3 linked regions of the Pelodiscus sinensis genome follow. The protein of the gene in region 2 purifies or fractionates together with the protein of the main gene of each other region. This does not show direct contact. Links are inferred from orthologs where the notes say so. Each region holds a gene or a part of one and is shown on either strand. Other genes may lie near its edges.

What was found.
Region 1: the proteins of KDM5A (region 2) and SIN3B purify together in Homo sapiens (affinity purification with mass spectrometry; 4 studies listed by BioGRID and IntAct, with this or other methods). This does not show direct contact. The link is inferred for Pelodiscus sinensis from reciprocal best matches to the Homo sapiens genes KDM5A and SIN3B.
Region 3: the proteins of KDM5A (region 2) and PHF12 purify together in Homo sapiens (affinity purification with mass spectrometry; 3 studies listed by BioGRID and IntAct, with this or other methods). This does not show direct contact. The link is inferred for Pelodiscus sinensis from reciprocal best matches to the Homo sapiens genes KDM5A and PHF12.

Annotation. Positions count from the first base shown.
Region 1 is NC_134729.1:30,806,491-30,810,236, reverse strand, and holds the start of SIN3B (paired amphipathic helix protein Sin3b), read left to right. Parts: upstream 1-1,219; 5' UTR 1,220-1,280; coding exon 1,281-1,376; intron 1,377-1,406; exon of another isoform or gene 1,407-1,425; intron 1,426-1,959; coding exon 1,960-2,066; intron 2,067-3,746.
Region 2 is NC_134711.1:107,709,349-107,713,094, forward strand, and holds the start of KDM5A (lysine-specific demethylase 5A), read right to left. Parts: upstream 2,296-3,746; 5' UTR 2,208-2,295; coding exon 2,034-2,207; intron 2,003-2,033; exon of another isoform or gene 1,750-2,002; intron 1-1,749. UniProt on the Homo sapiens protein: Histone demethylase that specifically demethylates 'Lys-4' of histone H3, thereby playing a central role in histone code. Does not demethylate histone H3 'Lys-9', H3 'Lys-27', H3 'Lys-36', H3 'Lys-79' or H4 'Lys-20'.
Region 3 is NC_134731.1:1,838,052-1,841,797, forward strand, and holds the start of PHF12 (PHD finger protein 12), read right to left. Parts: upstream 2,405-3,746; 5' UTR 2,006-2,404; coding exon 1,940-2,005; intron 1,859-1,939; coding exon 1,677-1,858; intron 1-1,676.

The sequences.
Region 1 (3,746 bases), on a different chromosome or scaffold from region 2:
CTAAGCCCCCACATTCTGCAACTGTCACCATCCTGGTTTGGTGGTTGGTACTGTACTCAAACTGCTATACATTCATAGTTCAAGCACAGAATTTATATCTATTGAGATTCTAAGGTACTATTTGATTCATTTAAGAGTTTTACTTTATTTGATGCTATTGCTTTCTTTCACATTTAGTACCACGAGTACAACCTATTTTCTCATTCCTTTATATTTTCCTGGATAGCATCACCCCATCCCACTGATCATCCTCATGCCGCTAATTTTTCATGAGGACTACGATATCCATATCCTCATTTAATGTCAAGCACTCTAGCTCACCCATATTAATATTTAGACTTCCAGTACTCACATATAACTTGAACATGCTGTCAATATTCAGAGGCAGCCCCCATGCAGTATATTTAAATAGAACTCTTATGTTGGACTGTTTTTCACTATCTCCCACCTGTACTTCACCAATTTCTTTCTTCTTTACCAGGACTTGTACTTCTCCCTTTAGTAATTTCATCCCATTCATGAGTAGTACACTGTTCACAATCTTCTTAATTGGACATTCAAGGTCTCACTTTTTCGCCTATAGTGATAGAAATGTAGACAAATGTGATTTGTCCTTTTCATGTGTGTTCATGTTTTTAACTGTATCCTTTGGTATCTATGGTTGTGACTATTTTCTTCCACTATTTGATCTGAGGAAGTGGGTCTGGCCCACGAAAGCTCCTCACCTAATAAACCATCTTGTTAGTGTGTAAAGTGCTACATAGTCCTGCATTTTTTCCTCCTACGGCATTCAAATGATCTTCTTGCTGCCTTCCCCGTCCCTTGACCAGTGTGACTCGCTTGGTGCCTTGTCCACGGGCCCGACGCTGACCGGTCCCTGCGGTAGCTACTTGGCAATCACCGCCCGGCGGCGGCTCCTTTCGGCCACTTCCGCCGACTCTGCCCCGCTCGCTCGGGATCCGCAGCGCTGGTAGCGTCCTACCCCGCGGGCAGTGAGGACGAGCGGCAGCTGTCCAGGCAGGGCACGAGGATTGTCGCTGTCAGGCTGCCCCACTCGAGGGCGGAGCCAGCAGCCGGCACGCACCGGAAGCTACCTCAGGCGGCAAACCAGCGCGGGCCGCGGAACAAGTCGTCGCGCGAAACACGCGCGCGCGCGCCGTCCCTGCGAACCCTGGCCCCGCCTCCTCTTGAGCGGCCCGTGCGCGCGCGCGCGGTGACGCAAGACGCTCGCAGCGTGCTGATGCGGAGGGGGAGTCTCTACCCGGTGCCCGACTCCCATCATGGCGGCGGGGGGAGGCGGCGGCGGCGGCCGGGGGGGCAGTGGCCCCAGATGGGGCGGGGGCCGGGCCGCCGCGCAGGAGAAACTGCCAGTGCACGTGAGTGCGGGGTTCTCCCCCAGCCCCGCCCCGGCCCATTCCACAAGAGGTAGCCCCGGGCCTGCCGCGACCCCTGGCGCCCCTCCCCCCGGGCCCCGCCCGCGCTGCATCCAGGCTAACCCCTGCGCTCTCCCACACAGCGCCCCTCCCCTCGGGGAGAATACCCCGCATGGCCCCTCTTCCTCCCCCCGCACTTCACCCAGGATAGCCCCTGTGTCCACTCAAGCGCCCCCCCGCCCCCCCTTGGGCCTGACCTCCCTCCCTCTTCGGCGAGCCTCCACTAGGGATGTGACAAGGTAACTGTCGCCTGGGAGCTTGCAGCAGACTGCTCCACCCCAGGCTGCCGCCTCCGCCTGAGCTTGGACCCTTTGGAGCCAGGCTGGAGGAGTCCCCTGCCTGGGACCCCACTTACTCAGTAAATCAGTTAAATCTAACTTTTAACCGATCCAGTGGGGTTTTACATCCCTAACCCCCATCTCTCTGCAAGCCCATTAATCTTCCCCGTGGGCCCTCAGACTATAAGTGGCCTTGCATTCTGCCCTCCACCTTGGCTCAGTCCCAACTACCTCCCGCTCCCCTGCAGGTGGAGGATGCACTTTCCTACCTGGACCAGGTGAAGATTCGGTTTGGCAGTGATCCTGCCACCTACAATGGCTTCTTAGAGATCATGAAGGAGTTCAAGAGCCAGAGGTAAGGTGAATTCCAACCCATCCAGTAGCCACTGCTATAGTGCTCTTCCTCTCAGATATCCCATTTTGCTCTAGCATATTCCCCTGCTCCTAGTACTTTTCTTAGAGAACCCCAGACCATAGTGCCAGCACCCAACTTTAGAACCCCCCCCACTGTTCATCCCCACACAAAATATCGTGCAGTACTCCCCTGCCTCCGTGCTCATTTTCAGCATACCATTAGCGGAATCTGATCCTCAGACCTTCCAAGCTCATGCAAGAAGCATGTTTCCTCAGTTCTATTAGATTATTGAAGAGTTAAATTCCAGATGGAAAAGGGTCCATTTTCCCTTACCACAGAGGGTCCAAAATCCCCTTCTAAAGCGCCCATATCAACACCAAAACCAACAAGGAATCTGGTGGCTCTTTAAATTCATTAGGGTATTAGAGCATAAGCTCTGTTATGCTCTGTCAGGGCTATTCCCCGCTCTGGCACTCTGAGTACAGAAGATGGGGGCTCTCAAGGGACTTTAAATACCTGCCTCTATAAGCTCTGCTTACAAAAACTCCCCCGTCACAGATTTACTGACTTTGTGGGGTAACTGACACCATAAAGTGATTTAACTCTGAAAAAACAGGAAGGAATACTTGAATTCTTTCCCCAGGAGTACCCTTAGCTCTTTTGCCATAAGAGAGCTTGAGAAAAGAAGCAAAAAGTACAGAAAAAGAAACAGTGATGATTCTCTGTTGTGTTCTATCCCTCTGGGGCATCTGGTATTAGCTACTGTTGGTAAACAGGATACTGGGCTACATGGACATTTGGTCTGACTCAGTATGGCTGTCCTTATGTTCTTATGATAGCTGACCTCCAAGCCTGGGCACACATGCATAGAGCTGCTGTTATCTTCCAGGACACACAAATCAAATCATCTCTTTAAAAAAGATGATTTTATTAACAAATGCAAAGATATACTTGATAAAGCATACTTGGTTGCTAGGTGTTACGGAGCAACTAAGAAAACATATAAAAAACACAAAGAATCATAGTTCTTCAGGCAGTAATTTAAATGGTGAGTGTGGGAGGGAAGGCATAGATTCACACAAGTTTAACTAAACAGCCAAAATTAAAAAAAAAAACTGATTACAACTAAATACATATTTTCCCTCTACTTATGATCTGTGCTGATCTGCGCTTCCAGGCCCAGTTCACTCCTATGTCCAATATTTTTTTTATAGGCATGGTAATTCTAATTATTGCATCTACTTTCTCCAAACCTAACCTAGAATTTTCCCACAAAGAGAGCAGAGGCAAGATATCTAAATACAATTCAAATGTTAGCACTGTATCCCCTTTGGTTCTTCTGGCCTCCTGCCAACAACCTTGCTAGTTACCTGAGCTTAACCGCTTAATCTCAGGTGCTGGCCAGCACTCCTATCCATCACATGCCCTAATATCTTAATAAATGTGTTAGTCTTTAAAATGCCACTGGACTCCTTGTTTTTGTTGAAACAGACTAGCATGGCTACCCCTCTGAAATATATCAACACCATTCATCAGCCCTAATTTCAGGTAGACAATAAGTCTTGTATATCTCAGCTCACTCACTCAGGGAATCAGAACCTAAAAAGGGGGTGAAAAAGCGAGATTTTGTAGCACCCAAAACACCAGATGTATAGGGAAGAACATCCCCTTCAGCTAATC
Region 2 (3,746 bases):
CAGAAAGAACAAATCAAAGATTTTTTCTTGTTAAGTATTCTAACCTGAGAATTTTCCATTTCAGAAAAGCATGGAAATTTCATAATTAATGAGCTTCTCCCCAATACTTGTGTTAGGAGTAAGGAAAAACTATTAAGATGCCTCAATAGAGAGCCCATGAAAGTAAAAATATCATAGCTTAAAATATTTAGATTGATATTACCCTTACATTAAGTTAGAGCATAAGAGGTTTTCATGGAGAGAACCATATGGCAAAATTACCATATTGTAGTGCTTTTATAAAAGGCCTGTAAAGCCCCAGATATTTCAAAATCTAACTAATAAATTTATTAATTTCAAATAAACCACAGCACTTGAGCCAAGGTTGCTGGCACATATGGACATGAAGGGAGCAAGACATGTACTAGAGATAAGAATACAAGCATAAGAAATGTAACCCTCAGAAATGGGGTCTTAGAGCATCTCAAGCCAAAATGTAAAACTGGCACACAAACACACTATGCAACCCAATTTTGTTACTCAAATTAGTTGTTAACTTCAAGGGAGCAAGATAAGTCTTCTAGTACTTTTAAAAAAAGATTTAAGAAGTTACACAGCCTATCTAAAATAAAATGATGATAAACTGACACTAAAATTGTTCATTATTTTTATTGCAGTAGCACTTAAAAGCCCCAATCAGAACTGTAAAATATTTACAATTTCAAATAAACAAGAGGAATAATGAATAAGTAAAGTTACAGTAAAGTGTTTCATCTAATTGATGCTGCGGATTTTAAACAACCAGACCAACTTGCAACGTAACCTGCTAATCAATCATACAAAGGCAAAACCAAGAGTTCAGTTGCAAAGAAATCCCAAGCTGTTTTTTCTGGCCAGAATCTTGAATGGTTTCTTCAGCCTTTTGGATTCCACAATCAAGCAAAAGTAATCTGCTTATTTTAGAAAAGGTAACTTCTCGGAGGTCAAGCTTTCACCATATTACAAAGCCAACTAAGCAGATTCCAGCAACTCGCAGAACAGAAGGAAAAAAGCCTGAGGAACACAAAATGTAAGCAACAGTTTCTACAACCTTCACTGCCACACCTTCGTGGGTTCTCCTCTCCTTTCTCAACCACTTCAATCTTTCATATTCACTATTTCTATTTTAAAGTTGATTTATTCTTGTCTGCACCTAAAAATTGTGTTTTAATTTGAAGTTGTTTGAAGTACATTCTACTGAGAAACTGCTGTATTTACCAGAAGCCTCTAGACTGCAGGACAAATTGTCATAAAATAATGCTGCAGGCAGAGTCTGGCTATTCTAACCTAATTTCGAGCCTTTTTTTTAAAAAAAAACACACAAATACCAATTTTCCTGTTGCAAACAGATCATTGACAATTCTTATAATACTCAGAAAATTATATTTAAGTAGAGTGGTATCAGAATGGAAAATCCTTCTTCCCCAAAAAGAACGAACTAGTTTTCATATGAACCATGTTGGCAAATTTAAGATCCAAACGAACAGTATGTTACAAAGTAACAGATCAGCAACCGAGCACATTTATTCACCAGTATTAATGCAGCCATAGTTTTTTAGGTTCAAGATAAACATACAAACTGCGTGTCCCTGACAAAGACACCATGGTTTACTGATCTGCTACCCGAAAAGGGCGACATAACCGGAAGGGCTTTAAACCTCAGCCATGGTTTTTTTTTTTCGGGGCGGAGAGGAAGGAGAACAGTTTTGCATCGTTATCAAACGCTCTTACTTCATGTGCTCTTTACACCCGACACAGCGGCGAAAGAAGCTCCCAAATATCCCCTGTGGCGCTGTCAGGCACCCAGATGTCGGATTAAGCCACGGCCGCGTCTGTGGCATCTCCCGGCCTCACGAAGCCGAGCTCCGAGAGCCGCCTCCAGAGGCTGAGCGAAGTCCCGGCCTGCAGGAAGGGCCCCTCACACCCACTAGGGAGAAAGCGCCTAGGAAACGGCACCCCGGGGTCACCTCAAGCCCCTTCTCCTGGGCGTGACCTGCCCCTCCCCCGTGCGGTACCTTGGGGGGTCGGATCTTGCAGATGCCGGTTTTCTCGGCCAGGCCGCGGATGCGGCCGATGAAGCCGAGCGGGTCGCTGAACTCCTCCCAGCTGGGCTCGAACACGGGGCACTCGGGCGGGGGCACGAACTCCGCCGCGTAGCGCGACCCGCCGCCACCGCCGCCCCCCGACATGGCGGCGCTCGGGGCCGCGGTGGGCACCGGCTCCGCAGGAACAGCCGGACCCGGGGGGGGAGGGGGGGGGGGGTTCGGGCTCCTTCGCCTCCGCTCCCCGGGGGGCGGGTCACAGCCGGGGGCTGGGGCGCATCCTACGGGCCCCGCTGCCGCCGGCTGGGCCGGGCTCTCAAGCGCCGCCGCGGCGGCTCCTCCCGTTTGTTTGTGTCTCCCCGTCGGGTTTTGTTGTGTGTGTGTGTTTTTTTTCCTCCTCCCTGAGTCTGACTCGGCCGGAAGTTACGTGTACGTAGAAAAGCCCTCTAGCGGAAGCGAAGAGCACAGTGCGCCTCCGCCTCCGCCCCGGAAAAGAGTCCCTGACCCTATCAGGACGCTCGGAAAACTTCCACCTCACCCCCCCAACCCCAGCCGGGCACGGAGGTCTGGACAAACCCAGCCCAGGGCCCGCTCCCTGCCCTAGAGACCGGCCACGGCAAGGCCGCAGCCACTTCCGACGCGGAGGAATGTGTGAAGCGGCTGGACGGATTCACTTCCGGTGCCGACATTCCATTTCCCCCATTGTCTGAGCGAATGCAAAGGAACGACTTGACCCCTCCCTCGGCGCATCACACCCCCTCGGCGCCCCGCCCCCACACGCCTATCCTCGGTCGTGCCGCCCAGAGCCCCGCCCGACGAGACTCCTCCCCCCGGGCAGCCGGCGTTCTCCTCCCTGGTCCTCTGGGTGGCCCGCGCCGCCCCCCTCCTCCCTCCCGCAGGCCGCCAGGCTCCTGTGCCCCCAGCCGCAGTGCTTTGTCTGCTGGGACTTTTACCTGCTTGGGATCATCCCAGGCCAGGCTGATTGGACAGAGCCACAATCTGGGGCCTGGAGTCTCGACGCACTTCTAGGCACAGCTGCCTTTTAGTTTTGCAAGCTGCGGGTGGGTGGGCTCCACCTGGTGCTGTTTGATTCCTGTCGGGTCTTGTGCCCAGCCCCTTACCACATGCCTTCAAGCAGATCCCACTCATACTTCGGTCTCAGCTGTCTGTTTTTTAGCACAATCCACCTCTAAGAAGAGCTCCTTTTGGCTCCTCTAAATCCAGGATTTCACAGTCTGCCCTCAAGGGGACTGGCTTTTACATTCTAGCCTTCCTAGCTTCCAACTTGTCTCCTCTTAAATTCAGATCTTTCACAGCTGCTCCACCCCTCCTTCGTGAACCCTAGTCTTACCTTCTGCAGTTCTCTTTTTGGCTGGGCACTGAAGGTGAACTTTTCCTTAGCAACTAGCTTCAGTGGCTCTTTCTGTGACCGGACTTGGACCCTCTTTTTTGAGTCACCTGCAACCCCAATCACCTGACCATTCTTTGACCCTTCCTGTGGTTTGTGTACCCTGCCCCTTGCAAAAGGCATCCAAGCAGCTCCCACTCATACTCACCAATCCACTAGAATTCTTTCATGGGGTCAACAAGCATGTGCACAAGGGGGATCCAGTGGATGGAATGCATTGAGATTTCCAGAAACCCTTTGACAAGGTCACTCACCAAAGGCTCTTAAGCAAAGTAAGC
Region 3 (3,746 bases), on a different chromosome or scaffold from region 2:
AGTCATGAAAATCGTAGTTAAACAGTTGGGGGTGTAGTTTAGTCCTGTCAGTTGTGGGAAAGAGGTCACCTCACTAAAGTCTCTAAATTGAATAAAGTTACTATGGTTTCCCAATACAGATTAAAAAACTTGAAGCTTGTGACAAATTATGTCATGAAGTATGTGCATTAGATAATTTCTCTGTGACTATGTAATGGACGTGGACTGTTATGATCAATGTAGGGTTCAGACTCAACTGATTCACTCAGAGACCAGGTTTTACGTAGGTGAGAAACTATGTGAACCATTTTCCCTCCTGCCCCCGCCCCCGTCAATGTTTCTAGCAACTATCCTGCTTCAACAAACGAGACTCAAAACTGTATGGAGGGTTAACATTTTTAGACACGTCACTCAACTTTGTCAGGTTCTATTTATATCAACAGTACCCTAAATTACAACATTATCTTTTTTTGTGCTCAACTTCTAAGCCATATTTTACATAACAATCCTATCAAACAACAGCTCTTTGTAAGCTCCAAAGTTTGTCTCTCACCAAGAGAAGTTGACCCAATAAAAGATTACCTCACCCACCTTGTCTAATTAATAAACAGACAACCAAAAGCCCAAGGTGCTCTAGCAGGTTTTAAGTGCTCTATATAATAAAACTACCAGGGGAACTTCTTCCAGATACAAATGATGATATAATGGATAATTAAAAATAGAGCTTCCTGTCCTGGGTAGACTGGTCTACAAAATGGCAACAGGGCACTCCTTACAGAACCTGACTACACAGTTAATTTCCCCAGAATCAGTAATCACTGTAATAAGTCTCTTAAGACCTACAATTAGCATATAAAAAAGTAGAACCATTCACCTCAAGTCACAAGGAAACAATTGTAGCACAGCAGCAAGTAAAGATCGGAGGCAGGAAAGACAATAAGGAACGTGGTTAAAAATCTCTCTCCAAGGAAGACTATCTATTCCCCAGAACACCAGTGCTCCGGCTTGCCCTGCTCCCTCCCCCATCCCATTAGTCACTTCGGCTGTTTGAATTTCACAAGAACCACCAGTCTGAGTCAATTGCTGAACAGATGTAAGCAAATTTGCTTTCGATGCACCTGGGTTCCCCCACACAGAAACAAGAAATAACTTCTCAGGACAGAAACTGAAGTTCAGACAGCTCCTGACTCTGCTGATTTGCTTTTTTGTTATTAGCCTGTAAGGCTTAAGAAACACAGAGGGTTATTCCCCCCACCCCTGCCTCCTATAAGGGAGAGCTTCTTACCGCTATGCTCTAACGCACACAATTCCAGACAACCACAGAGGATTAGCAACAAGAGCACAAAACTCCAGGCAAGCGGTCCCTGAATTCGCATTGGTCACTCCTACAAGGCAGGAGGAAGGAAAAGGGACTAAAGGGGAGGGGGGGTGTCAGTTTTCAAGTTCAGAGCCCTGGATCCACGCTGGGCCGATCCATCCGTACGCAACAATACTCCAGTAACGGTGCCAGGCTCGGCAAGCCCTATAGGCAGCCAAAATGGCGCTGAGAATAAAAATATAATTTAAAGGAAGGTCGCCATATTGTAAACAGTGCGAGAGGCAGCAGCCTCCATTATTCCCGGCGGCGAGGCGCTCACGCAATGTCCGGCCCGTCCGAGAGGCAGCCCCCCGCCCGGCCGGCAGCGCGGCGGCCTTACCAGCACTGGAGGTGGAAGGCGGCCGGGCAGTGGTCGCAGCACAGCAGGTCCCCGCCTTCCTTGCAGCTATCGCAGCTGTCGTGGTTGGTGGCCCGGCCGCTGCGCCGCGCCTCCTTCTCGGGCCGCCGGCTCCGCTTCTCGCCCTCCTCGCTCTTGGGGGGCGCCAGCAGCGCCTGGATTTGCTGCGCGCAGAGAGGGGCCGTGAGGGGCTGGGCCGCACCCCCCCCGCCCGGCCCCCCCCGGCGCGCCCCCCGCCCCCTCACCTCCATCAGCCCCCCGGAGGTGTCCAGGTCGTACACGATCGTCTTGGCCTCCATCTTGCCCCACATGCAGCCGGCCCGGGCGGGGGGGGCCCGGCCCCTCAGCGGGGCCGCGGCGGCTCGTGGCGCGCGCGGCGGGGCGGGCGGCGCCTCAGGCCAGCGGCGGCGCGAGCGGGCGCGCGGAGGCCTGGCCCGGGGGGGGGGGGGGGGCGCTCGGCCTAGCCCACGGGCCGCTGCGGCTTCCCCGCCCTCCGCCTGCCGGGCCCGGGGGAGGCTGCGGGGGGCCCCGCGGCCGCTGCCATGCCGGGGGGGGGACGGGCTGGGCCTGCGCAGGGCTCCGGGCTCGGCTCCCTCCGCCTCTCACACACAGGAGCGCCGCGGCTTAGGGCCCCGCCAGCGCGCAGCCCGCGCAGGCGCAGCCCGGCCGGGCCCGGACACCTCGGCCGCGCAGGCGCCGCCCGGCCGGGCCAGAACACCGGCGCGCAGGCGCGGATCGGGCTCCGGAATCTCGCCGCCCCACGCGCAGGCGCAGACGCGCCGGGGCCGGACACCACCGCGCAGGCGCCTCCGAGGTGGCAGAGGCGCCTCCGAGCCGCCCAGGCGCGATGCAGTGTGACGCCATTCCCGCGCAGGCGCAGACCGGATTCTCCCGGCTTCCAGCCTAAACCCCTGCGCACACGCAGTGAGCGGCCCGGGCAGGAAGCCCCCCCCCTCCCCAAGCGCTATTCCCCCCTGCGCAAGCGCAGTTGAGACTGTTTAGGCATTCCGTGCACATGCGTAAATCCTTCTGTTGGGCCAGCTCGGCGCAGCGGTGGTGGCTGGGCTGCGCCGACAGGGGGCGCGCTCCGCAAAGGCCGGGCGGGCGCTGTGCTCGGCGCTGCACAGGGGCAGCCAGCCCCCAGGCAGCGCATCAGCTGGGCTCCCGCCTGGCCCGGGCATGGGCCCCCCTGGCACCCAGCCTCCGTCTCCCGAGGGGGTGGGGCGCCTGGCCCTGGCATGGGCCCCCCGGCACCCAGCCTCCGTCTCCCGAGGGGGGTGGGGCGCCTGGCCCTGGCATGGGCGCCCCTGGCACCCAGCCTCCGTCTCCCGAGGGGGGTGGGGCGCCTGGCCCTGGCATGGGCCCCCCTGGCACCCAGCCTCCGTCGCCCGAGGGGGGTGGGGCGCCTGGCCCTGGCATGGGCCCCCCTGGCACCCAGCCTCCGTCTCCCGAGGGGGGTGGGGCGCCTGGCCCTGGCATGGGCCCCCCGGCACCCAGCCTCCGTCTCCCGAGGGGGGTGGGGCGCCTGGCCCTGGCATGGGCCCCCCGGCACCCAGCCTCCGTCTCCCGAGGGGGGTGGGGCGCCTGGCCCTGGCATGGGCCCCCCGGCACCCAGCCTCCGTCTCCCGAGGGGGGTGGGGCGCCTGGCCCTGGCATGGGCCCCCCTGGCACCCAGCCTCCGTCTCCCGAGGGGGGTGGGGCGCCTGGCCCTGGCATGGGCCCCCCGGCACCCAGCGTCCGTCTCCCGAGGGGGGTGGGGCGCCTGGCCCTGGCATGGGCGCCCCTGGCACCCAGCCTCCGTCTCCCGAGGGGGGTGGGGCGCCTGGCCCTGGCATGGGCCCCCCTGGCACCCAGCCTCCATCGCCCGAGGGGGGTGGGGCGCCTGGCCCTGGCATGGGCCCCCCTGGCACCCAGCCTCCGTCTCCCGAGGGGGGTGGGGCGCCTGGCCCTGGCATGGGCCCCCCGGCACCCAGCCTCCGTCTCCCGAGGGGGGTGGGGCGCCTGGCCCTGGCATGGGCCCCCCGGCACCCAGCCTCCGTCTCCCGAGGGGGG